Linked DNA regions of Notamacropus eugenii. The main gene of each other region encodes a partner of the protein of the gene in region 2 in a complex. Links are inferred from orthologs where the notes say so. Each region holds a gene or a part of one and is shown on either strand. Other genes may lie near its edges. The genes, in order: TAF1C and POLR1B.

Region 1 (16,537 bases), about 95 Mb from region 2:
CAATTTTTTTTTTTATAAATGATCTGATGAAAGAAGCTCCCAGGTAACTTAACAAAATACATAAAATAATTGGTATATAAATACAACTTCATGACACTATATGGCTAAGGACAAATGAAAAGTTCATCATTGGGCCATCCCAATATTTAAAAAATGCTACTTAGATTACAGATTTAGTGCAATTCTGTTAAACTCAGAAAGGCTCATCTTTGATGTAATACAACACCCAGCCTTGGGCAGATTGTGCAGTTAGTCAACAAGTTGGGGACTCTTGGCTTGGAATGTTTGCCTGTATGCTGGGCTGTTTGGTTTTGCTTATCTGGGTTTTTTGTGTTGTTGTTGTTCCCCTGTTGTGGAGAGGGGAAAGAGGAATGAACGTGAGATCCCAGAGTGGCAGAAGGAGAGAAAGCCTAAGAGCTAAAATCAAACTAACCTAATCAAGGCCACATGAATGAGTAACTGCCCACTCCTCCAAGAGGAAAAGTAATGGGAGGAGGGAATTCCAGAGGAAGAATACTGGAAAATAGGGTATAAAAAGCCAAAGGAGCTGATAAAACCTACAAGTGTAACCCAGCAACACATAGATGCAACTTCAAGAACATAAATTGAAATAAATGTTTTGGTAGGGAGAGGCCCCGTGGAAATCTCAAAGCTGGTAGAAAACATTCTAGCCAGTGAAATACCAAACCCATGTGGAAAACTACAGAAAGAATTTGAGATGCTCTGTGTGTAAACTGAGAAGTAGCAAACGAGATTCAGTGCAGGCAGGAAAATAACAGCTGATTACCATCATCTTGCTTTGTCTTTGAGCATGTCAAAACATTTAGGTCATGTTTCTTCCCCTGAACAATGGACCAGTTCTGGATATTCCCAACTTGTACTCTGCTGATGCACTCACGCTTTGTTCAGAAATGAGCTTAACAATATTAACTAGCATTTATTGTAGTAGATCTGAGTTCAGATCCAGCCTCAGATACTTGCTGGCAGTGTGACTGGACAAGTCACTTAACCTGTGCTTTCCTCAGTTCCTCATCTGGAAACTGGGGATACTTTGGAGAAAGAAATGACAAACCACTCCAGTGTCTTTGCCACGAATACTCCAGACACAACTGAACAACAAGAACATTTATTTAATGGTTTAAGGTGCACAATATGCTATGTCATTTGATCCTCACACCAATCCTGGGAAGTAAGTGCTCTTATCTCCACTGTAGCAAGTGCTCTGCCAAACCTACTTGCCTAAAGGATGGAGGTGATAGAGGAGACAGTATGACCCTAATTGCTGGAGGGAAATGTTTTTCAACTTCTTAATACATCTCAGTAAATATACCTTTATGAAAGCTAAATAATAATAATGATATTGATTGGTTATCAGTCTCTTCCCCAACAATTTAAGCTCCTTGAGAGCAGGCACTTTTTCACTTTGTTTTTGTGTCCCCCAGTGTCTAGCATTGTGTTGGGCACATTTGGGGTATTTAATAAGTGTTTGTTGATTGATTCAGTAGCTACTGATTTCGAATGCTCAACATTCTGTCTCAAATTTTTCTTTCCATAGCCTAACTAATAACAGCCATTCAATCTTCTTAAAGAAATAAAACTTGTAAAGGGAGAAGTATCATTATTCAATAAAAAGTCAAGAAAATTGAATAGCAATATGGCAAGAAATTAGTGTATAGCCATGCTTTATGCCATACACTACAATAGGTTATTGATCACAACATTGGAAGAAAAAAGAATAATAAGGAAATAAGAAAGAGTCCCCAACTTGTTGACTAACTGCACAATCTGCCCAAGGCTGGGTGTTGTATTACATCAAAGATGAGCCTTTCTGAGTTTAACAGAATTGCACTAAATCTGTAATCTAAGTAGCATTTTTTAAATATTGGGATGGCCCAATGATGAACTTTTCATTTGTCCTTAGCCATATAGTGTCATGAAGTTGTATTTATATACCAATTATTTTATGTATTTTGTTAAGTTACCTGGGAGCTTCTTTCATCAGATCATTTATAAAAAAAAAAATAGTCTTGCCACCAGCCCTGGCATTAATCAGCAAATATTTTTTCAGTACTATTTTATGTAGAAAACACTGAAAAATAACTAGGTTATTATAAGGCCTCTGTATCAGCTTATACTTTTCTTCCAGAGAAGTGTCTTAATCTCCATCTATCAGTTCCTTGCAAAATCATTCCACATGACAACAAATACACAATTTAGTTTTTAATTTATATTCCTTTGGCTTCTTTAAGGCATAATATTTTCATATAACTAAGACTTCTTTTTTCTCTACATTTTCTCATACATTTTAAGTAACAGTGCCCTGCATATCTTGCCTTTTTCCTCCGTTATCAGCTCATGGTGATGTCCAAGAGTCCAGATGGTCAGGCCAGACATAGGAGATGGATGAGCTTGTGTTAGCTGCCCAAATCTGAAAGCTGGAATGTGGGGAGTTTTGAGTCTCCATATGGACTCATTACCTTGAAGGTCATAGTGAAGGGATTACCAGGTCATTCTGAATAAGGGAGTTAGCTAAACATAGGAAATGTAAAATTTTAAAGGCTCAGAGTCTGAAAATTGAGTCAATGCTAATGGAGAAACATTAGACAATGGCTACGACATGGCTTCTCATTCACACTCCTCAGACTGAGTTTTCAAAGTCCCTCAAATATATCTATTGTCTCTGGTGAAACTGAGACTTTGCCCAAGGAGCCTTCATGTACTGTCTCATGGGCACTATGGTGCCAACTACAGAGGGTCTGTGTGTCCCCTGGGAAACTCTTCCCATTTGGCTCTGGTACTATGAAAAAGAAAAACTCAAGGCCGAATGGTCTAATTAACTGACCCAGCTTTCAGTAATCAGTGAGAAAGTGTCAGAACCAGGGCATAAAGAGAGGGTAGAGGATCTTCCAGTGATCTTTCATGAACTTACAGAGTGATTAGTATTAAAGCAAATGGGTGAGATTTGGACTTTTCCAGACAAAGTGAGTTGGAAGCTATTCCTGAACACCAGGACTGATCCATCTATTCAATGGTGGAGCCAGACACAGTAAGCTTTCAACTCTGTACGGTAATAAAGGAAGCAGAATTGAGTAATGGTCTTTAACACTTATACAACTCTTTCTGGGCTTCAGATTTCTCATCTATAAAATGAGGAGGCTGGACTAGATTCCTTCTAGTCTAAAGCTACAATCCCATGAAGGCCAGGATTTCTGAGGATCCTACAATCCACAAAAGTCCTTAGAAGCCCATACGGGGTTTTTTCTTGAGGGGTTGTGAGCCTGCAAGCGAAGGAGTGTGACGGGAGGGCAAGCTCCGGATGCCTGAATTCTGAGAGCAGAGGGCAGAGGAGTTCCTTTGGTGAGGGCGAAGAGGGGTCTGGGTCCTTGGATCCTGGGAGCGTGGTACTGAGTGGCTCATTGGCTCTGAGGTGGGCAGGGTCTGGCTGCTTCGATTCTGGGATCGGGGGGAAGAGCAGTTTTCTGATTCTGGAGAAGGGAGGACTGCAAGGTAGTCTCGAAGTGTTTGCCGACGCTCACGGGGTACATTCCGAGCCCATGGCTCCTGAGACAGCTCCTGAGACTGAGAAGCTTCAGACATCCTGTGGAGAGGGCTAGGAGTCCCATGGTGACTATCCATGTCAGAGAAGTCAGAGGTGGCTCTGATAGAGGAGAAAGAGCTGGAAAGCTGGGTCCGCCTCTTCTCCCGTGATGGCCGCTTTCTTGGCACCTGGGTACTGCCTTGCTGGCTGTCCCACCAAATGGCTCCCTTCCCCTCCCAGAATGCTTCCAAACGTTCAGTCAATTTGTTCTCAGGACCAAAGGGCTCATGAGCAGGGGGAGGATCTGAGGGAGGGAGGGGGCCCAGGTCCCTTTGTTGCAGCAGCCGGCCTTCATTCATGGCAGCCTGTAGGCCCTCTCGGACCTTCCCTTTCACTTCCTCCCTCAACCATCGGAGAGGGTGTTGGGAGAAAGTAGGGGGTGTCCAAGGAGGGAGGGCTGGGGGAACTTGTAGTAGGGTTTTCAACCAACGGCGGCAGCAAGCAACAGCCTGAGGATTCCAGGAAACAGCACCAGAGTCAGGAGCTGTGTCCAAGGATGAGGTAGCAGAAGACTGGTCATGAGAATGGAGGCCTGGATCATCAGTATGGTCAGTGCAAGACTTACTATTTTGGAGAGAGTCAGCACTTTTGGAATTGGTGTCTGGCTGGAGCCAGAGGTGCTGATAAAAAACATCTCCAGCAGCTGAGAGCTGGAACAGCAGCATGGTGGGACTGGGACAACTTGGAGGTACAACAGCAGCCAAGCCTGGGGAAAGATCGGTGAAGAGGATCCCAAATCCTGAGCTGCTGAACTTGGACAACAGATTGCTAACCATGAAACATCCCATGTGGGGGATGTCTTTATCCCCATTCCCCGTTCCCTCTTGCCCTCCCATCTCCATCAGTATGTCCCTCAACATACCCATAAGAGGGGCCTTAAGACGGTCCTGCAGCAGCTGCTGACCATGTGGCTCAAGGACTGGAAAGCCAGGGAGTGAGTCACTAAGTGAAGGGAGTGACTGTGGTGGTGCTGCTAGCTGAGGGGTGTGACTGGACCCTCCTGAGGAAAAAGAGGAGCATGGGGAGTTGACCAGAGACACCAATCCAAGCACCGTCACTGGGTCCTGCTGGTCTCAGCCCCAGGCCTCACCTGAGAGATGCAACATCCGAAGATGGCCCCCAAGTCCTCCGAGCAGCAAGGGAAAAGGTGCCCCAGGACAGGGTGGGGGCAGGAGCTCAGCCAGCAGTGGAGGTGACATAAGTGCATGGTTCCACTTCAGCATTGGCACAAGAGGTAAACGCTCGTCCAGCAGGTAGAGAGAGAACTGAGGGTATGGTGACTCAAGTCAGGTGGGCAGCACCCACTCTGCATGGACATATCCTGGGGACTTTGGGGAATGAGGGAGTCAGATCTGAGAGAAGGGACACTGGGATTAGAGGAAGGTGTCTCCATAGGGGGAATCTCACTTACCTGTGTACAGATGAGATGAAGGGTGGGACTCAGGGAGACCGGACTGGATGTCCCCAAGTACTGAGCCAATAAGATACGCTCCCCTCGCTGACATGAGGCTTCAGCCCCTACACGAAAAAGGAACTCACCACAGCCTGAGGGACCCTGAAGTCAGACACAGGGACAAGAGGTCACCTCCCTGTGCCCCAGAGCCTGCTCACCCATCTGGATACCCCTGATACCCTACGTGGTCAGTGAAAATTATAATCCTTGCCCCATACCCGAACATCTGTGAGTCTGACTCCAGTGCGGTCAGCGACAGTCAGCATACGGGGGTGAGCAGTGAAGTCTGCCCAGCGCCACGAAGAAGAGTCCTTGAAGACAAGGGTTTCAGGGTCTTTGTATATTTGCTTCAGCCTTGGGGAGAAGAGAATGTGCCTCACTCTTGGTGGCTAACAGGAGAGGTATATTTAAGATGCCTAGGTTTACTGGGGTGTGTCTGACTGAGGATGCTGGCAGCCACGCCTGGGATAGATAGTCTTTAGAGTAGGGGACAGGGGGAAAGACTAGACTGGGAGGCCTAGGGGTGAACATTACCCATTCTGGGGGCTCCACAGACACACAGCTCCTGAGCGAGTGCAGACTGCCAGCTCTCCAGGAAGATGAGGGCTGCAGGTATAGAGGGAGTGAGGTTAGCATAGGCATCCCCTTTTCCATTCCTTTCTGCAGTCTATATCCCAAGTGCCCACCTCACCTGAGGCTGATTCCTGTGGCTCCCTTCTCTGTACCCAGCACCTGCAGGGGCTCAGGATGCCCTTGACGACTGACCTGCCACACAGCACAGTGATGATCAGAGCGGACAGCCAGCAGAGCTGAGGAAAGAGTAGGAGTTAGCTGAAAATAGTCACACACTCTGCTGGCTGGGATGGGGCAGGGGGAGAAAGGGGACTCAGGAGCTAAATCAGGAAGCATCCCTGACAATCAGTCCAGGCTGGGGTGGGGGGGGAATGGAAAATGGGGCCACTGAACCAGATGTTTACGGGTCTCACCTTCCCCCTGGACTGTGCGGGTCACCACCTGCCGGACTGGTCCCTGGAGCAAGATTTGGGTTGGGTCCCCAACAGCCTGGGGTTTGCGGGTGCTGAACAGTTTTACCTTCTGGAAGTCTGAGAGGCCAGTTAAGGCAGTCTTCAAATTTAGGATCAAGGTCTAGAAGGGAACTTTGAAACCATTTACTCTAAGCCACTTAGAGTCTGAAATCCAGCCCAGGCACTTGGATCACACACCAAGCATTCTACATGTGACCAGCTCACTGCAGGCTCATTAGCTCTACAACTGATCCCTCCCAGGCCTCCTGTACCCTTCTCCTTCCCCCTATCAGGGAATAAGTCCCTGGTCAGAGAGGATAAGCCAGTCTCCTTCCTCCTTCCCACAGAAGGATACTCAGCTGGTTGTAGGCTTGCCCAGTAGGGTAGACCAGCTGCCCAACATGGGGTTTAGCCCCTGGGACCCAAGCGAGAGCCCCGCCTGTAGAAGTTTCATCCAGCAGTAGCCCCTTCCAGCGGGTCTCCAGCTCCTCATGCAGCAAACCCCCAAGCAGACCTTCCACTTCCTCAGCCAGCACTGTGCCCCCCAGGAGGGAGAATCGTCGCTGACGGGTGCTCAAGTGGGCCCAGGGGCACCTGGGAGATGAAAGATCCCATTAAAAATAATACCAGATCACCCTTTCCAGGACACTGAACAAATCATAAAGCAACTGTTCTTACAGCAACCTTTCAAAGTAGGTTGTGTAAGGATTATCATCCCCATTTTACAATATGGAAACTAAGGCTTAGAGCTGGGACTCAAACCCAGGGCTACCATTGTACCCACTAAGTTAGCATAGGAGGGTGACCAGAGAAGAAAGTTGGTAGACAGCTGATCCCACCTCTTGACTCTCCTTTCTTCCCAATCCTAGAACCCCACAGTTTTGACTAACAGTACGCCCCCTTCTTCTCCTTGGGTCACTTGCCCCTTGGGCTGGTGTCCACTGAGGTCCTGGAGCAACCGTTCTGCATTCATCACCGTCCTGTCCTTGCGGGATTTCTGGAGAGAAAGCTTCAGTTACTTCTTGCCTCTGGCCAGTTTGCCCATCACTTCCCTGTGTCACTAGGGGTCAACTGCAGCCAGCCAGGGGTCACTTTTACCAGTTGTCCAATCGTCAAATTTACCTTTGCTTTTCCCAGGTTAAAGTCCTCCTGCAGCAGCTTTCCTAGGGGCCCAAAGGCAATGTCCCCATGATCCCACAAGAACTGGTTGAGCTGAGAGGGGGACAAAGAAAAGGACAGTGACCACATGTGGCAAGGGCCAAGATCAGAGCCCAGAGTAACCCTCAAAAGACCCAATGCCCACTTACCTGCTCCATAACATCTACTGTCGCTTTGGCCCCAAATGGACGCCTCAGTCTCCCCTGGAAGAGCAAATCTCGGGGGGTCAGCTCAGGGTTCCAGAGGTCTGAAGGGAAAATTAGGGAGATTAGGGAGAAGGGGCCCAAGGTTCTTGGCAAAGGGAGCTGAGCTGGGAGGGAAGTCTGAGAATACATTGAGGAGGAAGTCCTAAGAAGGTAGATAAAAGTCTAAGAGGCAATCCCAGGAATCTGGTAGGAGCATTCTAATTTCCTTGTCCATGGTAGGAAACATGTATATCTGACAACACTGGGCTTTGAGATGAGAGCCTGTGGTTCAAACAGCTGCTGCTAAATGAAACTTCCGTAGAAGGAGCTTTAGGCTGGGATCCAGGGGCTGTACCCCAATAAAATAGGGTGGGAGGAAGGACTTGGTGGGTTGTCAGAAAGCAGCAAGTAGGGTTGGGGTAGGAACAGAAAAAGAGGACCCCTCACCAGGACCAGGGCGCAGGAAGGGCAGAGGTCCAGGAGTGTCAGACTTCCATCTTCCCCACTTTGTCACATACGATGTCTCATGCTGGGGGGGGTTAACCTGGGGGACAAGGAAAGACTCCAGTAGACCACACTTGTAGTATCAAGGTTAATCTCCATTTTGTGGGAGAGGGTGGTAGGGTGGAAAGATCATCAGTTTTGAAGTCAGAGCACCTGGATTCCAATACCCTCTTTGACACTTACTACCTGAGTGATCTGAGGAAAGTCATCTTTCTTCTCTGGGTCTCAGTTTCCTCATCTGTAAAATGAGGGATTTGGACTCTGTGGCCTCTCAGATCCCTTATACTTCTAGATTAAAGGGTGGAGGACCCATTCAGTTCTTGTAAATTATTAATGCTGAACTAGATCAAATCCTTTACATCTAAACATTTCCTGTCCCTCTAGGGAAGGTGTGAACTAGCGATGGATCTGGAGTCGGAGGACCCGCTTTCAAAACCCAGCTTTGACACTTAGTAGGCCACTTGATGTCTGTGATTCTTTACTTGTAAAATAAAGACAACCTCAGAGGTCCCTCCCAGGTCCAAATCTATGATCTTGATGAGGTTCTAGAGAGCACAGGTAATACTATTCTCCTTTTATTATGGAACTAAGGATGAGAAGTTCCTCAAGTCTCTGGGGTGCCCAGGACATCAGACATCCCTGTGGCCAAGCAGAAGTGACTAGCACCTTGTGTACCAACTACCAACTGTCCAGACAACAGTTCCCCAGAAAGGGCTCTGGGGCTGCTCCTACCGATGGATCCTGGGTCTGGGGGGGCTTCAGCAGCTGCATACAGTCACTCCAAGCAGGGGCCAGATACAAGCCAGGGGAATCATTCAGGCCAGGGGGGCCAGGCAAAAAGAACGTGGGAAAGAGATTGTCAGGGAAATCCATCTGCGTGCAGGGCTCGTGTCCAATTCTCAGGTCTCGGTTCCTATGAAACAAAGATGAGAAAGACATGTTTTCTTTCTCTAATCAGTGGAACACTACACAAAAGCTTTCATGGGGCCACAAGCCTGAGAGAAGGGGCAACAGGGGAGTAAAAAGGGATTCAAAACCAAGTCTGTCCTCAGCAAAACTCTCTGTCACAGGAGTCTGTCTGCAGGGCTCACGTGCTGAAGGTTCTGGTTTCCCCTCTGAGCACAATTTATTCAGTCAGCAGATTTCCATTGGGCACCTAACACAGGCAGGGCATCCACCGTGCTATTCTTTGAGGGAGAAATGATTTAAATCAGTTCTGATCGCTCCCCTCATGAAACTCAAGTCTAGGATAAGACACAAAAGTAACAAAAACGAACAATGTTGAACAGGTACATTAAGAGATGCAAAGCATTACCTATGTGTGATCCAAAGGGGAAAGTCATTATCTTCTTGGGGGATCAACCCCAATCCTGGATCGCCTCCACCATCTGCTTCCTTCTCCCCTTCTGCTACTGAATAAAGCTGGAGGTCTTTACAAAACTGCAGACTGCATCCACTACAGCTTTCTGCTAGTTAAGCTCAGATAGGCCTTAAATGCTACAAGTTTTTGTTGTTGTTATTCAGTCTGACTCTTTGTGATCCCATTTGGGGTTTTCTTGGCAGACATACTGGAGTATTCTGGAGTGGTTCACCATTCCCTTCTCTAGCTCATTTTACAGATGAGAAAACTGAGGCAAGCAGGGTTAAAGGACTTGCCAAAAGTCAAAGCTAGTAATTGTCTGAGGCCAAATTTGAACTCAGAAAGAAGAGTCTTTGTGACTCCAGGTCTGGCACACTATGCCACCTAGCTGCCCCAATGCTACAAGACACTCCTTTAAAATCCTTCCTAACTGATTCTCTATCCCACTCCTGGGCGGCTGTTCCAAACCTTCTCTTCTCAAGCTTCCCAACTGTTTTCCAAACCCTTTCAACTGAGAGGCTGAAAAAACGGAGGCCATTCTCAGAGAGCTCCCCTCCTCCCCATCTCACATCCTTTCAACAAACATCCCCCTCCTTCTCTCCAGTCTGGGATGAAGATGAGGCTCTTCTTGTCAAGGCCAACTCCTCCATAGGTACCCTTATCCCATCTCCCTCTGTCATTTCCAGCTTAGTGGTCCCACTATCAACCTACTCTTTCTAATCTCCAATTGCAGCCTATTTCCTGGCTTCTTCCCTGCTACTAACAAACTCTCCCAAGTCTTCCTTGGTCTTAAAAAAAACCAAAAACTACCATCCCTGCAATCCTCCTACCTCCTCCCCTTCTCAATGAAACCCCTAGATTGTCTGTCCTCAGTGCCTCTGCATCCTCTCCTCTCACTTTTTAATTCTTTATATTCTAGCTCTAGGCCTCATCATTTCACTGAAATAACCCTCCAAAATCATCAGTGATTTCTTAAATGCCAAATCTAACACCTTTTTCTCAGTCTTCATCCTTCTTGACCTCTCTGCAGACTCTGGCACTGTTTACCACCATCTCCTCCTGGAAACTCTTTCCTCTGGGTTTTCACAATACTATTTTCCCTTTCTGGTTCTCTTCCTTCTGTGACCATTGCTTCTGTCTCCTTTGCTGAAAGATCACTCGCAAAATAACCACTGTGTTGTATCCCAAGGATCTCTCTTTGACCCTCTTTTCTCTCTACACACTCTTATTTGGTGATCTCAATTCCCATGGGTTCAATGACCAATGTCTGGAGCATAGTATTCCTAGAATTCCTAAGGGCAGTGAGACGACTCAGTGAATAATGTACCGGACCTGGAGTCGGTATGACCTGAGTTCAAATTTGACCTCAGATACTTACTAGCTGAGTGACCCTTCTGCAAGTCTCTTATCCCATTTGCCTTAATCCACTAGAGAAGAAAATGGCAAACCACTGGAGTATAATTGACAAGAAAACCCCATGGACAGTTTGGTCCACAGGGTAATAAAGAGTTGGATGACTGAACAACAACATAGTCTATTTTGTGGGGTAAAGGGTTGTTTGTGGGGTTGAGTGATCCAGTCTGGGGGAACCATGGAATGATAATATTTGACCCAATCCCTGTGTAGCTGAAGTGGAATGGTGAAAGTCAATGATGGTGAGGAACTGAGAGGTCAGGAAGTGAGACTAAATGACAAAGTTTGAGGAACCTGAAGACAGGAGGTAGAATGAAAGGGATGAATTAGGCTGCAGCATGCCTGAAGTGGGGACATAAAAACCTGACATATCTAGGGAGAATGCGATTAAATAGAACCGGGGTTGTATTCTACCCAGAACAGGTCTGGTTATGAGACCTGAGACAGCCAGCGTGGCAGAAAGAGGCGGGATGGGGAATCAAGTCAGGTCAAGTACGAATAAGTACATGGCACTGAGTTAAGAACTGGGGCTCCCAAGAAAAGTAAAAGTCCCTGCTTTCAAGGACCTCAGAGTGTAATGGGGGAGACACCATGCCAACTGGAGAGGGGGGAGAAAGAGGGAGAGAGGGAGAGAGGGAGGGAGAGGGAGAGAGGGAGAAGGAGGAGAGGGAGAAACTGGAGATAATTAACCAATATTAAGGAAAGCTGGGAAAGGCTTTTGCAGAAGGTCAGGGGAGGAGGCAGAGACGAGGAAGGAGAGAATTTTAAGCGAGGGGGGCAGCCAGGAGAGATGCCCCGAGTCGGGAGATGGCGTGCTGCACTCTAGGAACCACCAGGAGCCCAGCATCACTGGATCGCAGAGTACTCGGAGGGGAATATGATAAAAGGAGTGCAAGGATCCTGGAAAAGGAGGGAAGGGGCAGGTTGTGAAGGAGAACGTTAGGGCCGCCCAGTACAACCTTCTCCTACATCTTTCAGAAAAGTCAAGCCTACAAGGGGAAGGAGACTCACCCGCTGTCCCTGGGCTCATCAGTCGCGGGTCTGGGATTCAAACCCTAGTCCAACCGGTCCTGGGAAGCGGGTCGAGAACACCGTTTCAGTACCAGACTTGGAGGCCGGGGCTGCACCCCAGGCTCAGCCCCTCCCCACTCTCCCAGTCTGTGAAAGGGGGTTTAATGACCCCCCCACCCAGCAGAGAAAGGAGCCGCGATTACTCAGACCTCTTCATCTCCTTCGGTGTAGAACGGCGGTGGTGCCTCCATCCCCCGACAGCCGAGACGGGCCCACTGGTACCCACGAGAGCCGGCTCACCAGCCACCCCGAGGCAGACACGTGGGAAACGAAGAAAAACGCCCACACACAAAAAGAAACTGACGACTCACTCACTGCGCATGTGCGGGACCAAGAGATTTCCCAGGATCCTCCAGAGCCAGAGCCCCAAACCCGATCCCCGGAAGTCCTCCTCCTGGAGAGAGCTGCCTTACTAAATATGGCGGCCCCCTTAGTCTCATTCCCCCAATAGGAGCCGCCATTATCCTCAGTGCAGGGTTGGTCCCGCCCCCTTGTCAGCCGCGTGGATGGTGGCCCGCGGGGGCCATCCCAAGGCCTCAGGAGAAACGCGGAGCTGGACGGTAGGGACTTTCTTAATAACCCGACTGTCCGAGGGGAGAGGGTGCTCTGGCGCTTTGTAGCTGGCCCCGAAACGTTCCCGCACCTTGCGTCCCTGCTCGCCTTGCTGTTACAAAGCACTGGAAAGCCGGTCCAAGAGAGGAGACTTGTCCAAAGTCACGACGCGCGTAAGATCGCGATCGAGCTGGAGTTAGAGGCGACTGTCGTGTGTGGTCACGATTAGATGGGGAGCTCCTTGGGCAGGCACTATTTTTTGCCATTTCCCCAGGGTTTAGCACAGTGCCTGGCACACCGAAGGTGACTGAGCGAACGGTCAATTTACTGATTGATTTAATCCAAGCCCTTGCCGCCACACCCCGCCCCTTTTTAGATCTCTGAGCTATTAGGATCCCCCAGCGCTCAACCGGGTGCTTTGTGCACCGTGAGTGCTTGTAAGTGTCCCTCCATTCATTCATTCACTCGTTCACTCATTCACTCACTCATTCACTCATTCACTCATTCATTCACTCATTCACTCACTCATTCATTCACTCATTCACTCACTCATTCATTCATTCATTCACTCATTCACTCACTCATTCACTCATTCATTCACTCATTCACTCACTCATTCATTCACTCATTCACTCATTCATTCATTCATTCACTCATTCACTCACTCATTCACTCATTCACTCATTCACTCACTCATTCACTCATTCATTCACTCATTCACTCATTCACTCATTCATTCACTCATTCACTCATTCACTCACTCATTCACTCATTCATTCACTCATTCACTCACTCATTCACTCATTCATTCATTCACTCATTCACTCATTCATTCATTCATTCATTCATTCTTCATTCAACCAGATAGAGAAAGTCCGATAGATTGGGAACTCCTTGAAAGTAGGGAAGTTTGGGGGCTTTTCTAGTATCCCCAGTTCAGCGCAATGCCTCGCACTGTAGTAGATGGTGCTTAATAAATGCTACCTAATTAGAAACCAGGTGTCACGATTCCCACCTCTGTTCACACCGATACCTTGGACAAATCACTTCGTGTTTCTGGACATCAGTTTCCTCATTTGTAAAACGGGGTGGGGTTGGACTAGTTCAGGGGTTCTTAACCTGAGGCCGTGTCTATCTCCCACCCCCCAACGCCCCACCCCAGCCCTCGCCAAAGTCCATGAATCAATCCACATTTATTATTAAAAAGGTCCATGGATGGATTTCAAGGGTTTCATGAACTTGTATGGGTAAAGAAAAAAATTACCTTTATTTCAATATAAGTTGTTTCCTTTATATGTATGATGCAATATATAATTATGTTAATTATAATATTTCAATATAAAATGGTTTTCATATTCAATGCAATTTAAAACACAGTTCTGAGAAAGGATCCCTAGGCTTCGCCAGACTGCCCAAGGGGTCTATGGAACAAACAAGATGGAGAACCTAAGTGACCTGAAAGGATCCATCTGGGAGAAAAGATAAAGAGGAATTTTCTGAAAATCCTCCCAGGGCAACCTTCTCAGAGATTCCTGGCTTGTTACTTAGGATCTGAATGATCTTGGACCAATAGCTTAGCCTCTCTGGTTTCTTCATCTGTAGAATGAAAGGGGGTTGGGCTGGATATTGCTAAGGTCCCAGCCATCTCTGACCTTCTGTGGCTATGATGCCAGCTTCTGGGCCCTTTAGCTCTCAGGAAATGCCTCCCTTAGAAAGCAGCAACTCCTCTGCTCCCCCTGCCCCCTCCCTTTTTTTTTGCTTTCCTTTCTGTTTTTTCAGGAAGAGAGCTAAGTATCAGGAACTTCCACATCACAAGGGCCTGCATCTAATATACACACAGGTTTTGGTTTTTATTTTTTTTAATTAATTAATGTATTTTTAAGTTTTCAACATTCACTTCCATAAGATTTTGAGTTTTAAATTTCCTCTCCTTCTCTTCCCTTTCCCTCCCCAAGACGTGCGATCTGATAAAGTCTCTACATATACATTCATATTAAACATATTTTCACATTAGTCATATTGTAAAGAAAAATTAGAACCAATGGGAGGAACAATGAGAAAGAAGAAACTAGAGAGAGAGTAACTAGTCTGCTTCCCATCTTCATTCAGATTCCAAAGTTCTTTCTCTGGATGTGGACAGCATTTTCCATTGTGTTTCTTTAGGAGTTGTCTTAGATCCTTGCACTGCTGAGAAGAGCTAAGTCTATCAGTTAGTCACTGAACAATGTTGCTGTTACTGTACACACAGGTTTTTAAAAAATAGTGATTATAAGTGTTGACCAGGAAATTTGGTTAAAAGAGGCAAACAGGTTAAATTCATATTGTTTGTTCTCTTAAAACTAGCAGTTACATGAAACTTCTGACTGTCTGATACAAGAATGACCAGGCTTAAATACACTTTGCCATGAGAAAGGAATTTTCTTAATTGTATAAGTTGTAAATTCAGTGAGATAAGACAACTAAAAAAGTAGTGTCAGATGGAATTTACAATCCCAGGATATCTGAGTTTCCTCTGTATAGCATATGTCTCTGTGAAACAAGATAAAGAAGAATCTTACCACTCTAGTTGTAGGCATCCTGTCATAAACAGGTCTTTTAAATTGCTGACACAGAAAAGGGCATTTTTAGAGCAAAACAAAGAAGTCTGATTGATTAGTTCAGGTTTTGACCCTTATTAAAAGTCCAAAAATGATATTTAATGTTAGCATAAGCAATGTTATTTTTTTTTTTTAACACTTTGGGATTGTCTTGGATCACTGTATTGCTGAGAAGAGTTAAGTCAGTCCTGATTGATCATTGCACAGTGTGACTGTTACTGTGTACAATGTTCTCCTGGTTCTGTTCACTTCACTCAGCATCAGTTCATATAAGTCTTTCCACATTTTTCTGAAGTCTGCCTGCTCATCATTTCTTATAGAACAGTAGTATTGCATTACATTCATATACCACAACTTGTTCAGCCATTCTCCAATTAACAACAGTAGTAATAATAGCTAGCATTTACATAGTTCTTTCAGGTTTGCCAAACACCTTATAAATAAATATAGTCTCATTTTATCCTCACAACAACGCTGGGAAGGAGGGGCTATTATAACTTTTATTTTTATTTGGTATCTTAAAGTTTTCAAAACACTTTACATATATTATGTCTGTTGAAACTGACAACAGTGAACCTTGCTCATATAATTCCTGGACTCCCAGGTATTTTATACTGTCTAGAGTTATTTTAAATAAACAATGGAAGTAGGTATTGAAGATTTCCCCACTTTACAGATGACAAAACTGAGACTTAGGTTAAGTGACTTACCTATGGTCTCACAGTTAGAGTGTCAGAATCAGGATTTGAGCCCATGGCTTCCACACTCCAAGCCCAGCACTCTGTGCAGTTAACTGGAGCACTGGATAGAGTAGCTGGGCCTAGAGGTAGGAAGACCTGAGTTCAAATCTAGCCTTAGGCATTTCCTAGCTGTGTGACCCTGGGTACGTCATTTAACCTCTGTCTGGCTCAGTTTCCTCAATAGTAAAATAGGAATAATAGTAGGATAGGATTATTAATGCCTCAGAGGTATTAATAAGGCAACAAATAATACCTCACAGAAGTTTGTTCTGAGGATTGGGTGAGGCTCTCATCGGAGGATGGAACCATGAAGTCCAAGACCTCTGTTTAATGAGGAAGCTCAGCTGGGAACATCTCCTCCTTTCTCACCTGGCTGCATGACCTTGGACCTTCTCTGACTTTTCCACCATGAGTGCCTTCCCTATGTGTGGGATACAGCAACCCTTACTCAAATTAAACTCAGAAGCTTCTCAAGGTAGAAGGCAAAAAGGAATTTATTACAATTTATTACAATCCCTTGAGAAGTGGCACTTTCCACAAGACTATGGGTGATATCAGCAAGGGAGTGCACCTGAGTACACCTGGAGTACAGCTTTTTATAGTCCCTAACAGGGAAGCCCACTAGCCTCTCTTCCCATTGACTGGGAATTCAGGCTTACAATCTAAGCGCGGGAATCTACCCCAGAGACAAAGAACATGGAAAGGATTGTTGCTCTTCAACGAGGGTTTTTGTTACCAAATAGGGAACTTAAGGGAAGAATGCTGATGTGGCATAAGGGGTGGAGAAGGGGAAGGGTATACCAGGTCACATGACTGGAACTTAGGTGGTTCTCCTGCATCCTGGAGCATTAGCTATTTTAGCTTTGGCAGGAAGGGTGGAG
Region 2 (16,034 bases):
CCAAACCTACAAAAAAGTAAGAACATTTTGCAAGAAAATACATACTTTAACAGAAATTCTGCAACTTGTTCATTTGGGTACCAATCAGGAAGGCTGAGCTTTACTCTGAAACGTTCTCCCAAATAGTTAAGGACCTGTTTTTGTGTGAGACAACCCTCTTCCATTACAATTCTTAACATCTGAGAAACACAGTTCCTAAAAAATGAGTTCTCCTCTCTTCCTTTGATCAGCTCCTGAAAAATCTGGTAATCAGAAAAACCAACTAATGCCTAGAACAGAAAAAATAAGTTTAACATTAGTGATCTACTTAATCAAATCTATAATTCACTTTGCAGAATCTGATTGAAGCTTTGGAATCTTCTGATGAATCTCATAAGAAAAATACTCATACCTTGAGTATAAATCCCAGAGGAAGAAAAAATAATTCCTTATGATAAATAAAATTCACCATCACTGAGCCATTTTCCAGGTAGTGAAGGTTCATGTTGATAGCAGTGTGCTCATCCCTAACACAGTGCATTGAAATTCCTGTCAAAATAAGCATTACAAAATTAGAAACTTGGTGCCTCTAGCAACTATACTTGATGATAACTCAAAAAGGGTAGATCTATACCCAGAGGTTTAAGCAGTTTAAGTTCAAGTAATTTGTTTCATAAAGATACTAATCAGTTTGATTGCCAATACAGTTCTCATTTTAAGTAAATTCACATTTGACAAATTCAACTTTACATATAGAATTCCGAAAGAAATCCACATTCCAAAAAACCCACTTATGTTAACTTTCCTATGCTCACATAGCTTCTGCCCCTTGGCTCCCACCCTTCTACTCCCTCCCACCCCCAAACCTAAACAAACAAAAACAAGACAACCCTAAAAATAACCCCTCCAAATGAGAGAGAATAGATGCAGATACACCTGCCCACTGCCACCTCAATTGGAAGTGTGGCTTGAAACCTCCAGTGTCAAGAGAGACCTTTACCTCAATCCACCCACCCACTGTCTTCCATCTGTCCCTGGCCCCCCAGTGTTGCCTTACTCTCCTGTCTGTGTCCATATCTTGACTTCCAAGTGTCAGCCTTCAGTATAGTTGGCCCAGATCCCCATGTGTTCCTGTTCTTACTCTTACTTCTCTGTCCCTAGTCCCCATGTGTCCTTGAACAATGCGCTGACTGACCCCCTGACCCTTTTCCTCCCAACATTCACATTATGTAAAAATCACTTTATGCAGAGGTCTGTGAAATGGTCTACTTACATAAAACAAGAACTATCTGTATGTGCTTATGTAGGGTTGGTATATGCTTATGGGGAATATGACAAATAATTTTAAAAAAGGACAAAATATTAAAATATATTAGCAAGAGAAAGACAGAACACAGAAAATAAGAGAATCATAGAGCTGGAAGAAACCTTAGAGATCATCTGCCAAAGCGCCATAGCTTACTGTATGAAAACCTGGGCTCTCTCCCAGTCTAGATGGGAATGAAAAGTTATTATAGCACAGTTTAAATCAGCATTGGTCAAGGAGTCTGGGGACCTGCAGTAAAATCCTCTCTCTGATGTTTACTACCTGTGGAACCTTGGACAAGTCACAAACTTCCAGCCTTCAGTTTCCTTCCCTGTAAAATGAGGGCGGTTGCACAAGATGGTGTCTGACATACCTTCTAGCTCTGGATAGTTCATGTGAACCAATAATTCATATAGAAGAAATTTTACTTTGAAGGGGAGAACCACATTTAAAATGTAGTGATTATGTTCTTTTATACAAAGAGTTGACTTTGTATTTTAATACAAAAAACCAAGAGAACACAAGTGAATTCCATTATAGTAAGGAGGCTGAAAACAGAAGATGTTTCATTTTACAATAAACCAATATGGCATAAAATTCACAATGGAAAACAAATTAGATAGTTAACCTACTTCTATAAGGGGTATTGCAGATGAAATTACTACATTAAATAGCAGGCAATGTGGGTTAGTAAAAGGACCTTTGGACTAAAGAGAGAAAAGACTGGCCTAGTCCCATCACCCTTTAAAGGGAAGGTCTTGGAACTCTCATAAAAGAGTTGAACCAATCAGAGAGGCTCTTTTTCTGTCTGCCTATCTCTCTTTCTCTCCCCATATATGTATGTGTGTGTGTGTGTGTGTGTGTGTGTGTGTACATATATACACAGATCTATATGTATCTGCAAATATACAGATCTCTACATCCAGAGGAAATTTTGGGAAGTGAGAAAGTTTTTTCTTATATTGAGCCAAAATCAACTAGTATTATACAAAAATGAACATGATGTGTATGTCTGTGAAATGTTCAAGCAGAGGCTTGTTGATGATCTGTTAAGAATGGTGTATTATTAACAGAACTAGGTCAAAAGTTGGAATTAATGAATACTAATGTCCCTTCCAGCTTTCAACAATGAAATATTTAATAAAATGGAATCATACAGAAGAAAAAAGAACCAATTTAAATAAAACTTCTCTTCATTTCATTTAATCATTTTAATATTTAACTTAAAATTTATCTTTTCCTAAGCTACCATCCCAGTATTAATTGTTATGATTCACTACTCACCGTAATGGGTATAACCAGGGCCTCTGGTTTTCCATTTTGGTCTTATCATTGCAATGGGAAAATTTCTCCGAGGCATAATTAGCATTCTGATAATTTTTTCAATACCATTTATTATAAAATAGCCTCCCATCTCCTGTCAAAGAAATCAGAGTGATGTTAATACCACAAGGCTACATATACACATGCATATCTACATACAAAAGCACCTATATAAAATCAAAGATACTCCACGTCACTAATAAGAGAAATGTACATTAAAACAACTGAGATTTTCAACTCACACCCTGCAAAGCAGCAAAAATGACAAAAGATGGCAATAGTCAACGTGGGAAGTATTGTGAAAAGACAGGCACACTAATTAATTGTTGGTGGAGCTATAAATAAACATAAACATTGTGGAAAGCAACCCAGAATTATGCAAATAAAGCGATAAAATACTCATTATCCTTTCACTGAGAGACTTCCATTACTGGGCTTGTACCTGAAGAAAGTCAATAAGAAGAAACTCCTCAAATATAACAAAATATCTACACCAGTATTTTTTGTAATAAAGAATCAGAAACTAACGAGATGACCATTAATTGGGGAATGGCTAAACAAATTTTGGTACATGAATATAATGGGATTTGCTGTGCTATAAGAAATGCTGAATATGCTAAATAGAGAGAAGTGTGGCAAGATCTACATGAACTGATGCAGGGTGAAGTAAACAGAGCCAAGAAAACAACATACAAGGTGACTATGACAATGTGGTAGTCAGGAAGAACACAACATAAATACGTACATCAAAAGTGAATGTGGCAAAATCATAAAGAGCAAGTATGACTTGAAAGAAGGGATGTAAGAGGATATTCCCAACCCACCTCTTTACAGAGGTGGTAAGGTCTATAAATCTTGCACATAATTTCAAACTTTTTTGACGTACTTATCAGCTATGATTTTTTTCCTCTTCTTTTGTCTTTAAAAAATTCTATGTTACATGGGATAGCTCTCTGAGAGGGGGAGGTGGGGATGTAAAAAAATAATAAAGTCATTTTAAAAAAGAAAAGATTAATAAATTAGATGGAAAATTGGGTGAAAACAAACTTTTAAGTAAGATTTTGAATGAATTAAATATTTCTTTATTTAACCCAAGTTACTGATTTCATTTTACCTCTGCCTCCTCATGGTGCTTAATAAGAGCTTTTGGAGGAAGATTATGTAAGTTGCACAGCTTAGACTTCACCATAATAGGAATATGGCCAAGGGATTGTTTAATAATTCCCTTGGGGACCCCATTCACAGACCAGCTGATATCAGCCTAATGGAAAACAGAAGGAAAAAAAATACATTAGCCAAGATAAAAAACTGTGTCCAGACAACTGAAACTACAAAAGTAATTGAAAGGCTCATTTTAAACAGTTAGCACAACACTTAATTCTAATATGAGAGGAGGAACCGGAGAGAAACAGTTCTAATTTCTATATGATATTTAGTGCTTTAGACTTACAAAACATAAGCTACTAATGAAGTTAAGCAGCCCAGTTAAGTGTGATATTTTTATTAGATACACTAGATATACAATCGATCATATCGATTATTCATTTGTTATTCATTTAGTCACCGTTATTTACTTACTGTCAGCTTTCCCCGATATGTACTTCTCCGACCACGACATTCTGCTGGGTAGATTTTCAAATCTTTGCAGATGCTCCCTTTAGGGACCATGGGAGGAGCAACGACAGCATCCACAATAGCAAGAGTGATACGTTCATCTTTGAAAGCAAATTCCAAAGGTGGAATGGCCTGAAACACAACACCCCTTTTTCTTTATTTTGCATTTTCTGAGAACTTTCACTCAAAGGACATTCTAATCACGTCTGTTCTAAGTGCACTGATAACTTCTTATTTATTCTCATAAAGGAGATAAGCTCATTTAGACTTGATATAATTAAGAACTTTATAAAAATTAAAGCTATTCAAGGAAGAATAGGGCAATCACTGGATTGCAATCACTCTATGTTCCCTCAATAGAAGGGTCTCATTAATGACTTCATAAATATGAAAAACATTATTTGTATCCCTGAGCCTACAGAAGTAAAAGATGGTTACAGGAGATCAGGTTTATACATGAAAAGGAGAATGAAGCCAGAATCTCCTTTAAGTGACTTTATGGGGCAGAGTGACAGAAAATCTTCCCTGAATACCTGAACTCCCTCTGCTTCACTCTTTCATATTTCAAGCCTTTTGTATTTTCATCCAGCTTCTTTTTTCTTCTTTCAAAGAAAGAACTGAAGTCACCCTGCTTTCTCAAGGCTAACCCATCCACCTGTGCATTTGATCCTGTCTTCTACTGGGCCTTTCATACCATCATCTTTTCTTGAAGATTTTGAATTTACTCTTCCTTTAATTCTTTCCTTACTTTATAAGCATGCCTCCATATCAAAAGATGCCTTCCCCTGACCCTACTAACACTGTTTTACTATTTCCTTCCCCATTTTCAATGCTAAACTTTTTGGATGAGTTAGTCTATACTTGCTGCTCCCCTTCACACACTTCTCAAAGCCTGGTCATGTGCCTTCTGCTCTACCCCTCTTCTTTGAGGTCACTGCTCTGTCTTGTACCTTGTGTGGTAAAATGGGAAAAATACAGGAGAGCTAGGTTCAAATTCTGTCTCTAATGCTTCTGAGCTGTGAGACCACAGGTCTCTCACTCAGTTCCTCTGAACCTAACTTTAAGAAATAAACAAAATCAGAATAATTAAACCTCTAAGTGCCCTTCTTACCATTTCACCATATGGCTCAAAGGAGAAACTGGGATATGATGTACTTGGGAAAACTTAAATATTGGCTTCTATTATGTATTTTTGTCTTATCCTCTTATCTAGTAAACTCCATGGGGCAAGACTATGTCTTCTTAAGCTTTGTACATACTCGTGGGAATATCTCATATCATGTCCCCCACTCACACTGCTGAAGGGTGTGAAGTGGAAAAAGTTTAAGAAGCTCTACCCTAGAACTTAGCAAGATGAATCAAACAAACACTTATTAGGTGCCACATTACATACACAGGATGTTGATATAAAGACAAAAATCAAAATAATCCTGGCCCTAAAGGAATTTACGTTCCATGGGAAGAAGGTAGACAATAAACACATAATAAATACTGCTGAATAAATGGGAGGGAACACTCTCAACCAGCAACTATTCCCTTGCTCAAAATACCGCTTAATAAATTGTCAAAGGTAACAAGCATGACAAACAATCCTTTGAGTGGCTCTCATTAATTTCCAGGCTTAGTCAATTCAGTAGTATTTATACAGAACTTACTATGAAACAGAGACTATGCTAAGTATTGCAGATAAGAAGAAAGCCAAAATTTGATCCCAGTCTTCAAGAAGCTCATAGGGTAATGGGGGAGAGAAAGTAAAAACAAGATAAATACTGGAGAAACAACATGCAGATAAACTGGGGATCATCTCAGAGGAAAAGTACTAAGATTAAGGAGGACTAGGAAAGGCTTGTAGCAGAAGGTGGGAGGATAGTTTAGAAGACAGGAGGGAAAGATGAGGGCGAAAATGAGAGAGAGGGAAGGGAAGAGAGAGAGAGAGGGAGAGAGGAGACGGGAGAGGGGAAGAGGGAAGAAGGAGGGAGAGGGGGAGAGGGACGGAGGGGGGGAGGGAGAGAGACAGAGAGAGAGAGTCAGTCTCTTGCGAAGAAGGAGAGAATAACATTTCAGATCCTGCTGGGAATGAGATCCTCCCATATACCCGGATCTCCCAATTCCTCCCGGTCTCCAGGGCTCAGCCCTCAGCCTCTGCCCCGCCCCCAAGGACAGAGCCAGTCACGCGGGAACAGAGCGGGGCAAGGGGCAAGAGCTCGGCCCACCCCCGATACCGCGAGACGGGGATGGGGGCAGAGGAGAGACGGGAAGGTCGGGCCACGAGACCAGAGTAGGAGATAGAAGCTGGAGGGGGGGACACCAGCGTAGGAGGAGGAAGGTGGGAAGCCTGAAGGGGAAGGGGCACACTTCGGGGCAGGTCGGAAAGAGGGCAGGACAGTGCGGGGAGGAAAGCCGGGGGGCGAGTTATGGGGCAGGAGTCAGGGGAAGTGAGCCCCTGGGAGGGACGGCTGGCCCGCTCACCTGGACCGCGTGGCTGAGCCCCTCTCGCATAGCATAGTTGAAGGACTCGATGTGCGCCCGCGTGAGTTCCTGCAAAGCCGGCAGCTGCTGTTCTTTCGGGATCCCGTAACCCGGCTCGGTCAAGTGTTTCAGGCTGGGCCCGCCGGGTAGGTCCCGCCACTTACAACCGGGATCCATGCCGGTTAACAGCGTGGGAGAAACGAGCCACAGCTGCTGGACATCCCAGAAGGCAGTTCGTCATTAACTCCCGCCCCTCCCTCCTGTGGCATTCTGGGAAATGTAGTAAATGTAGTAAATGAAGTAAAGCGTCACATCTGCGCCAGCAAAAAAACCCAAAAAAACCAGACCCGTAACCGGAAAACTACAAGTCCCAGCAGCCCACGTGAGAAGTACTTTCTGTTTTCCTTTTCCTTTTTTTTTTGGTGATTTTTTTCCAAGTCCGCCCGGCTCACTGGCGGGTTACAGAGTTGTCAAACCCTGGGCACCAGGGTGCCCACAAAATTCCTTGAGATCCGCCGGAACCAGAACAAAATGTAATTAGGAACTATTTAGCAAGATAAGTAGATTAGTTTAAATAAATATACAAACGTATGGTATTGTAAATCAGTATCTCAGAGATCGTTAGTTTGAGAGCAGTTCCCCTCCCCCCCATTTGTGAATCTTGACTGTACCACCGTCTCCTGGTGGCCCACGCGTGTGGACTGCGGGCCCTGCGCCGCCTCGGCCCCCGATGCGCACGTTCTCCCAGGCTTTGCCTGAACTGAGGCTAGAAGTGTCGTCCCAGGCAGCTCCACATTCTCTACAAAACTCAGTTTCTCACTTTGTAAAATGGGTCTACTATTGCTTGAAAAGCTCCTTAATGAAGGGTAGTGACGTCATTTTCATCTTTGTATCTAAAGCACCTTTCTTATACTGGGCACTAAATAAATGTTTGCTGAATCAGACTGAATTAAAACATACACATCTTACGTTTTAACAATTGTAATGTAGACACGCTTAGGCAAAACAGAAAAGAATTTACGGGCCAATTAAGAATGAGAACGGTCCAAATGAAATGGATCACCTCATGATGTAATGAACACACTGTCACTGCAAGTGTTTCAATAGGAACCAGATGGCCGTCTGGCAGATGTTTCCTGCATTGGGTGAGAGGTAGGACTTGATCTCTGATCTTCCTTCCAACTTTGCATAATTTTAATATATATAACATCATAGTTTCCATTAGAATTTTTCTCCCTCCTGCCTCTACTTCCATTAGGAATTCGGGAAAAATAGTTTCCCCCCCTCATATTTAATTGATTTGGATACAGATATCAGGGAACTGTGTATAATGTAGTCACGAAAATCCCATCTGATCCATATACATACATTCATGCTCTGGTATGTCAACTACACAAACTCTTGATATTCTGTATGTATGCCAATTACTGTTACAGATATTTCTTTTCATTGTGGTTTGTTTTCCAAAGGTTGATTCTGTGGATACAATGTTATTTCTACATTGATTGCGCAGTGTTTTTTTCTAGGTAGGCAACAAAGTTTGGAGAACTGCCAGGAAATGCATTGAACATAGACATGCATGCAGTCTTGCAAAGGCCCTGATTACAGTTTCAACAAAGTGGTCTAGTCACATATGAGGCTGGTTTCACTTCTCTTACATGGCTTGAATTCCACTGCCATTTATTGTTGCAGTCAACCTCTGGGGGCAGAAAATGAGTAAGGGTACAATAATAATTGAAATATAGTAAATATGCTTTGTTTTAAATATGGAATTTGTTTTCTAACACAAATGACTGGCCATATATTGACTGAAAATTGTGACAAAAGTCATCATTCAAACGCTTTTCAATAAAACTGATTTAGATATGCTGAATCAGAAAGACCTCTAGCTAATTGGGAGAGGAAGGAACAAGGGGCATATTAGACAAAAAAATACTTTGCAATTTGTTGAAAAATGTGTTACTTTAAAATTAACACCCAATGATACATAGAAGTACAGAGTAAGGAAGCCCTTTCACAAACATGTGTTGGATAGGGTATTAGTCAGATATATTTGGTTGTGGTCCTTTGTTCTTGAAGAGGACCAAAATGACATCACTATGCCAGAGTCTCTTAAGTTTCAGTGTGTCTGATTATGGCTGATCAGACCAATATGAGCTTGGAAAGCTCTACCACAGATCAGGCACAAATTGTTCATGTGAACATTTGGGGGAGATTCTCTAAATTTGTTCATTCTGTGTTTCTTTTGAGCCACTTCAATTCTGCTTTGTTCATAGAGCACAGTGCCTTCTCTGATGTGGGCATGCCATGCTGAGTGGTCCTGCGCCAGTCTCTTCCATGTCACACAATCAATTCTAAAGTTCTTGAGAGACACCTTAAGAGTGTCCTTGTATTACTTCTTCTGACCACCATGTGAATGTTTGCCCTGTGTGAGTTCTCCATAAAACAGTCTTTTCGGCAAATGTACATTTTGTATTGGAACAATGTGACCAGCCCTTTGGAGTTGTGCTCTTTCTAGCAGTGTGTGAATACTTGGCATTTTAGTTCACATAAGGACCTCAGGGTCTGGTACCTTATCCTGCCAGGTTATCTTCAGAATCTTCCTAAAACAATTCAAATGGATGCTATTCAGTTTCCTGGAATGGAGCTGGTAGACTGTCCATGTTTCACATACAACAAGGTCAGCACAATGGCTCTGTAGACCTTCAGCTTAATATTCAGTCTAATACCTCTTCTCTCCCACACTTTCCTTTGGAGTCTCCCAAACACTGGGCTAGCTCTGGCATTCAACCTCTTTATCAATGTATACATTCCAAGAAGTATACTACCAAGGTAAGTGAACTTACCCACAGCATTCAAAACTTTTCCATTTGTTGTAACTGATGGTTCCATGTATGAATGATGTGGTGGTGGCTGATGGAACACCTGTGTTTTCTTGGTGTTAATTATTAGGCCAAAATTAGCACAGGCAGTGGAGAATTGATCCATACTTTGTTGCATCTCAGCTTCAGAGGCTGCATTGAGTGCACAATCATCTGCAAACAGAAAATCATGCACCAACACTTCCTCCACTTTCATCTTGGCTTATAGCCTTTTCAGATTAAAGAATTTACCATCAGTGCAGTAGTACTGATAAATTTTATATTTTAATGATCAAATTTTACTTCATTACATATTTTAACTTCAATTCAAAATTGTCTACACCTTTTGTTAATTTGGACAAAATATTCTTCCCAGTAACAGGATGCTATCATTCATCAAACTATTATTATGGGTTGTAATTGTAAATGTGTTATTTATCTGTATTGTATTATACATCTGTAAATGTTTTATTCTGAGCTCAATACATATTCTTCCTTAAGATGCCTTTATAGGAAAAAGTATTTTTCAGATAGGCTTTCTCAGTCACTAGCACCCGTTTTCTTTCAAGTTGTGGTATAGGAATCAGTATGATTTATGCTTTGTGAGTTTTTGGAAGAGGACTAATGCCAGTGTGGCATACAGATTACATATGAGAAATTTTAGTTTTTAATGAATTAAATCTCTCTAGCTTTTGAAGTTAATTTTTAACATTAATGTATTGCTGGTTGCTAACTGATGGCATTAGAAGCAACATATTAGTCAGTTCTCTGCAAGGAGCTAATTTAAGTAATCTGATGTGTAAGAAATCAATTAGAAAGATAGTAAAGGAATTTAAAGCATTCTGACTTCTGTTCCAACAAGCAGTTCACCAATTCTGAATTCAAGTAATATTCCTCCTGTGAGGAATCCTAGCATCACAAACCACATACTTGTTCCTACATTCTCTTGAATGTATTGCACTCAGTGTTACCAAAAAGCATTAGAGACTTCTTTTCTCTTCTTTTAGCATCCGTGACAAAAGTTATTTACCCTGTTGCCAGATAATGAGCTACCTTGGTATTTTCTGGAGTGAACCTCTACAAAACGAATGGAAGGAAACTACTGCTTAAAGATCATTCTAATAAATGATCATCATCAGATATCTCTGAATATGTACACATGATCCTTCATCCCAAGGATAGTTCAGATCAATGGATCAGGCTACGATCTCTTTTCACAGAAAAAGAAACAGGCATAAAAAGTTGAGACCTCCCCTAGAATCACACAATAAGTTAGTATCAAAATATAAAGGAAAAACACAGACTCCCCCTTCTCCCCCAGTTCTTAAGGTTATGGCAAGTAGGGAACCCCTCAAATGATAGACGTAGCACTTTTTTACTCTTATGCCCATCTATTACTCAGTATTTCTTAAGCACCTACAATGTGTCAGATGTTCTAGTTTCAGGGAATACAAAGACAAAAATGAAACAATCCCTGCCCTCATGGAGCTATTTTCTATTAAAAAAAAATCTTTTTTCTCTTGGAAAAGTTAACATTGTATTGCTTTGAGTCATAGTTTTTTCTGGCTATATACATTCTATTCTACTGTCCCTAGAATAGAGTAGAGTTTACAGTAAAAGCCATAACAGTTCTTTCCTCTCAGTTGCCTCATAAAATATGGTTTTATTTTAGATTAATCATGTTATCTATGTTACCTCTGGAATCAGATGTGGAAAGGACCTTAAGGATTATCTAGTCCACTTCCTCCCCCTATTTTGTATATTATAAAACTGAGATCAAGAGAGATTAAGTGACCTGCCCAACATCACAAGGTAGTCATTGGTGGAGGAGTAGAGACTCAATATCAGATCTTCTGACTCCAAATCTAGCATTCTCCCTTCTGCCCCATTCCACTTTAGTCTCTAAGGTCTCTCCCAGCTCTAAACTTCTTTGTTCCAAAAATAAAAAGGATAAAAACATTTTACTCCAGTGATCATATTGGGCCTTCAGAACCCTACAGTCCTTTAGGTCTTAACAGTATTTTTCACTTTCCTTGCCTGAGTTGATTAATTCCTATAAAACAAGAGGCTTATTGGTTATTGTAAACTCTGAATCTTCTGTCTAGTTCATACTACCCTGAGAATAAACTCAAAAAAACCCCAACCATATTTGACCAGACCCGGACCCTCACAAAGAGCCTTAAACATCAGCTATATTGAGATTTTGGAGGGCCTCAGCTCTTTTTGAAGAGCACAGTACCATACTTGGTATTACTGTCTTGATCTATCCCAGAAGCTAGTGTGGTTCCTAAGACTATGGCAGAACCTGGGTCTGATTTGGGTATTGGTTATGGTTAGGGCCCTAAAACCAATTCACACCTACCCTGGAGTATAGCTGAACCACTGGGGCCATGTCTGAATTGTCATAGCTTTCTGAAGGAGAAAGCTCTCAACAGTCATCCCTACCTGGGTTGACATAGAATTTGGTCACATACACAGACAAGGTTTCATCTACTCCAGGAAGAGTACTACTCCACTTTTTTTGGGAGTGACCCTGATGGAGAACTTAAAATTATTCAGCTTTGGTAGATGAGACACTTCAGAGCATCAAAAATCAAGCTGCACTATGTGATGCTGGCCATTGTCTTATGCCAGTATCTTCATCAGCAGAAAGATTCTGTTTTGGAAGAGAGGTTCTGTAGTCCCATATAGAAAGAACTGAGTGAGACAGCAGTCAACTTCATTGTCCTCTATGTAGAAGGATGACTTAAACTTTGCAGGTGGTAACAAAAATCAGGTTTCTACAACCTTTCTTTCTCTGTGACCTTAGAAACAAATACTTGAATAATTTGTCTTACTAAGGCATTTCACTAATTTTAGAATTGCAACAGGCTGCCATTTTTTGAAGTCGCATTCAACCTTTATGTATACAGTGACATTGTCTCTGATTCTCTTATACCCACCACCTGTGTGACCTTGGGCACATCCTTTAACCTATATGTAACCAATAGCTTATCTACTTAGTTATAGGCTAGTTGACATTTCCTGTTGCTGAGGAAATCATATACATACTGTGATACTCTCTGCTCTCACAAATTTCAGTTTAGTATTGCCATCCAGTTCACAATTTAGACTCACCTTACTTAACTTATATGGACCTATATTTAAATATTTTGATAGGAAAAAGCATTTCATGTCTAATGCTGGGGAAGGTTTTCAAAGTAACAACCCAATCAGTTACAGAGGCAATATAATGTACCAGCTATTTTGTTTGGCAGCATTATTGAATTGGTGCTTATAATGGGCAAGTCATATTAAGTTCTGTTTACTTGTCTATAAAATGAAAGGCCCCAGAAAGCTTGTGGTCCAATTCGTACCTGAAGAAATCTCAATATATGTTCAGTCATCAAGCCTTTGCTTGAATACGTTCAATGAAGAGGAACCTGCTGCCTCTTAAATCAGCCTGGTCTGTTCTGTTGTTTCTGAGCTGTGTTCAACTCTTTGTGACCCCATTTTGGGGTTTTCTTCGCAGAGATACTGGAGTGATTTGCCATTTCCTTCTTCAGCTCATTTTGCAGATGAGGAAACTTAGGCAAACAGGATTTAAGTGACTTGCCCAGGGTCACATAGTAAGTGTCTGAGGCTAGATTTGAACTCATAAAGATGAGTCTTCCTGATTCCAGGCCCAGTGCTGTATCCACTGTGCCATCTAGCAGTCCTAGAACCTATTCTACTTTTGGAATTTTTTTTGTTGGGAAGTCTTTTTCCCTCCAAGAATTTTTTATTTGGACTTTCTAGTTAGGAAATTGTAACACTAAACTGTCATCTCTATAACTTCCTTCTATGGCTTCGAATTTTGTCTATTGGAGCCAAACAAGAAAAAGAATAGCCCTTTAAATATTTGAAAAGCATCAGGTTACCCTAAGTTCCTTCAAACAATCCCAAAAGTAGCATTGTCTCAAGACCCTTCACTTCATGATCCTGGCCATATTCCTCTAGATGCTCTCCAGCTTATCAATGCCTTTCCAAAATTTTGGTACCTGGAAGTGAATAAAATATTCCAAATGTGGTCTGCCCAAGGAAGAGAAGAGCAGGACCATTAGCCACCTTCTCATTCCTAGAAATGACACATAATAATGTAGCCCAAGACTGCATTAGCCTTGTTAGCTGCCATCCTTTTCCTAAAATGTGACAACTAGAATTGAATAACATATAATACTCCAGAGTTGCTCTGACTAGGACAGAATGGCATTGTGGCCCTTGTCCTGCTCCTGGTCCCAGTCCTCTCAGCTAAGAAGGTATCAACTTTCTTACTGTTACTGAATCATATTGTTTACTCATATTCACTCATGTATTCCACTAAAATCCTTGTGTCTTCAGATTATCTGCTATTTCCTGTGACCCAAAATCATTGTAAGACTGTGTACACCCAAATTAAATCATATAACTAAGAGCAGAATGCATCAACTATGAATAGATTTTTCTTCTCCCTCATTATCAACTCCTATCTTTAATCTTCCTATCTATTGTTTCCTTTCCTGCTGTCTCTTGTCTCCTCCATTCTTAAAAAAACCAAAACCCAACCCTCACCAGATCCCAGAAATCCTTTTTCTCATCTGTATCTTCTTTTTTTCAGTTAAATTCCTTGAAAAAGCAGTCTATCCTCAGTACTGTTGAGTTTTCTTTCATTTTTCTAAATCCCTTACAATCTAGCTTTCAATTCCATCACCTAAGTGAAACTACTCTATTCATAGTTATCAATGACCTTTTTAAATGACCAAATATAAAAGTCTTTTCTCAATCCTCCTCCTCCTCCTAAATCTTTTGGTAGCAGGAGATTATTGACCAAAGGTATCAAACTTGCACCTCATTTAAAATGTGATCGGGAAATGTTTAACAAAATTAATACAATACAACAATGTTAATTTGTGGTTTTCTCAGTCAATATGAAACCCATAGGGATAAATTTCTATTTGTTTGATGTCACTGATGTAAGCCACCTTATCCTCTTACTTTCTTCTCTTCTGGTTTTCATGACACCGCTTTCTCCCTTATTCTTCTCTCACCAATCTAATCATTTCTCAGTCTCCTTTGCTGGTTCATCATCCATGTTGTGCCCACTGACTGAACTTGTTCTCCAAGACTCTGTATTGGGCACTCCTCTATATTGGGGCCTCTCTACACTCTCTCAGTCAGTGACCTCAGCAGTTTCTACATGTTAAATTAGCATCTATATGCAGATGACCCCCAGATCTATATCTATAGCCGTAGTTTCTCTCCTAGGCTCCAGTCCAACATCATCAAGTACTTAAAGCACAGTTCCTAGCACATATTAAGTGCTTAATAAATTCTCTTCTCTCCCCTGATAGTCTACTTTCAAATATATGTTGTATTGGTTTCTCAAACTCAACATGGCCAAAACCAAACTCATTATCTTTCACTTTCCCCCCAAGACCCATTCCTCTGCCTGTTACTATAGAGGCTACTGACAGCTTTTTTAATCACCTAGCTTTGCAGCCTGAGGTCATACTCACTTCTTCACTCATACCTTACATATCCAGTCAGTTGTCTTATCTCCACAACATCCTCTTCTCTACACTTATATGGACATCATCTTAATTTGTGGTGTCCATTCATCATCTCTCCCCTGAAGTATTGCAATAGCCTCCTAACTGGTCTCCCTGCCTCAACCTCTCCCCATTCTAATCTATCCTTCATATGACCACTAATGATCACCTGTGATGATATCAGCCCCTTATTCATGAAACCTTAATGGCTCCCTATCACCTCTAGGCTCAAATACAAACTCCTCTTTGGTATTTAAATCTCTTTGAAACCTGGCTTCTTCCGACCTTTCCAGTATTCTTAGACATTCCCTTCTGGCAATACAAGCCTGTTCACTGCTCCTTATACGTGTCACCACAGATCTCATCTTTGTATCTTTGTACAGCTTTTCCTCATGTTTGAAATACATTTTCTCCTTAGTTACACTGCTTGGAATTCCTGGTTTCCTTCAAGATTCAGCTCAGTCATCATCTTCTACATGAAGCCTTTTCTGATTCTCCTTCCCCATCCCACCTTCTCTTTTGTCTTCCTCAAACAACCTGGTATTCTTTTTGTATAGGTTATGCATTCATGTGTATCTTGTTTCCCCCATTAGAATGGAAGGGCCTTGGGGGCTGGGACTTTTTCTTTTGTCTTTGTATAACTAGTACTTAGCATTATATCTGGCACTTAGTAAGCACTTCATAAGTATTTATTGATTGACTGCTGCTGCCTCAATGCCCAGGCATTAGGATGTAAGAGCTAAAAATAACCACTGTGTGAGCTTGGGCAAGTCACTTCTCTGGAAGCCAATTTCCTTATCCGCAAAAAGGGGATTGAACTAGATGACCTCTAAGGGTTCCATCAGGCTCCAAATCTATGCTCCTATGGTCTATTGATGTACTAAATTGTTTTCTCTTTAGACATATATATGTAGAGATAAGAAAGCTATTCTCCAC

The links.
Region 1: POLR1B (region 2) and TAF1C share a complex: the UniProt entries of both Homo sapiens proteins name them as parts of the pol I pre-initiation complex. The link is inferred for Notamacropus eugenii from reciprocal best matches to the Homo sapiens genes POLR1B and TAF1C.

Annotation. Positions count from the first base shown.
Region 1 is NC_092872.1:697,976,874-697,993,410, forward strand, and holds TAF1C (TATA box-binding protein-associated factor RNA polymerase I subunit C), read right to left. Parts: upstream 8,944-16,537; 5' UTR 8,863-8,943; coding exon 8,656-8,862; intron 7,964-8,655; coding exon 7,867-7,963; intron 7,482-7,866; coding exon 7,384-7,481; intron 7,289-7,383; coding exon 7,199-7,288; intron 7,074-7,198; coding exon 7,000-7,073; intron 6,671-6,999; coding exon 6,432-6,670; intron 6,155-6,431; coding exon 6,038-6,154; intron 5,861-6,037; coding exon 5,743-5,860; intron 5,658-5,742; coding exon 5,586-5,657; intron 5,406-5,585; coding exon 5,270-5,405; intron 5,154-5,269; coding exon 5,010-5,153; intron 4,864-5,009; coding exon 4,689-4,863; intron 4,599-4,688; coding exon 4,461-4,598; intron 4,305-4,460; coding exon 3,238-4,304; 3' UTR 2,208-3,237; downstream 1-2,207. UniProt on the Homo sapiens protein: Component of the transcription factor SL1/TIF-IB complex, which is involved in the assembly of the PIC (pre-initiation complex) during RNA polymerase I-dependent transcription.
Region 2 is NC_092872.1:602,811,850-602,827,883, forward strand, and holds the start of POLR1B (DNA-directed RNA polymerase I subunit RPA2), read right to left. Parts: upstream 7,641-16,034; 5' UTR 6,869-7,640; coding exon 6,692-6,868; intron 4,355-6,691; coding exon 4,187-4,354; intron 3,870-4,186; coding exon 3,723-3,869; intron 2,703-3,722; coding exon 2,570-2,702; intron 529-2,569; coding exon 392-528; intron 270-391; coding exon 46-269; intron 1-45. UniProt on the Homo sapiens protein: Catalytic core component of RNA polymerase I (Pol I), a DNA-dependent RNA polymerase which synthesizes ribosomal RNA precursors using the four ribonucleoside triphosphates as substrates.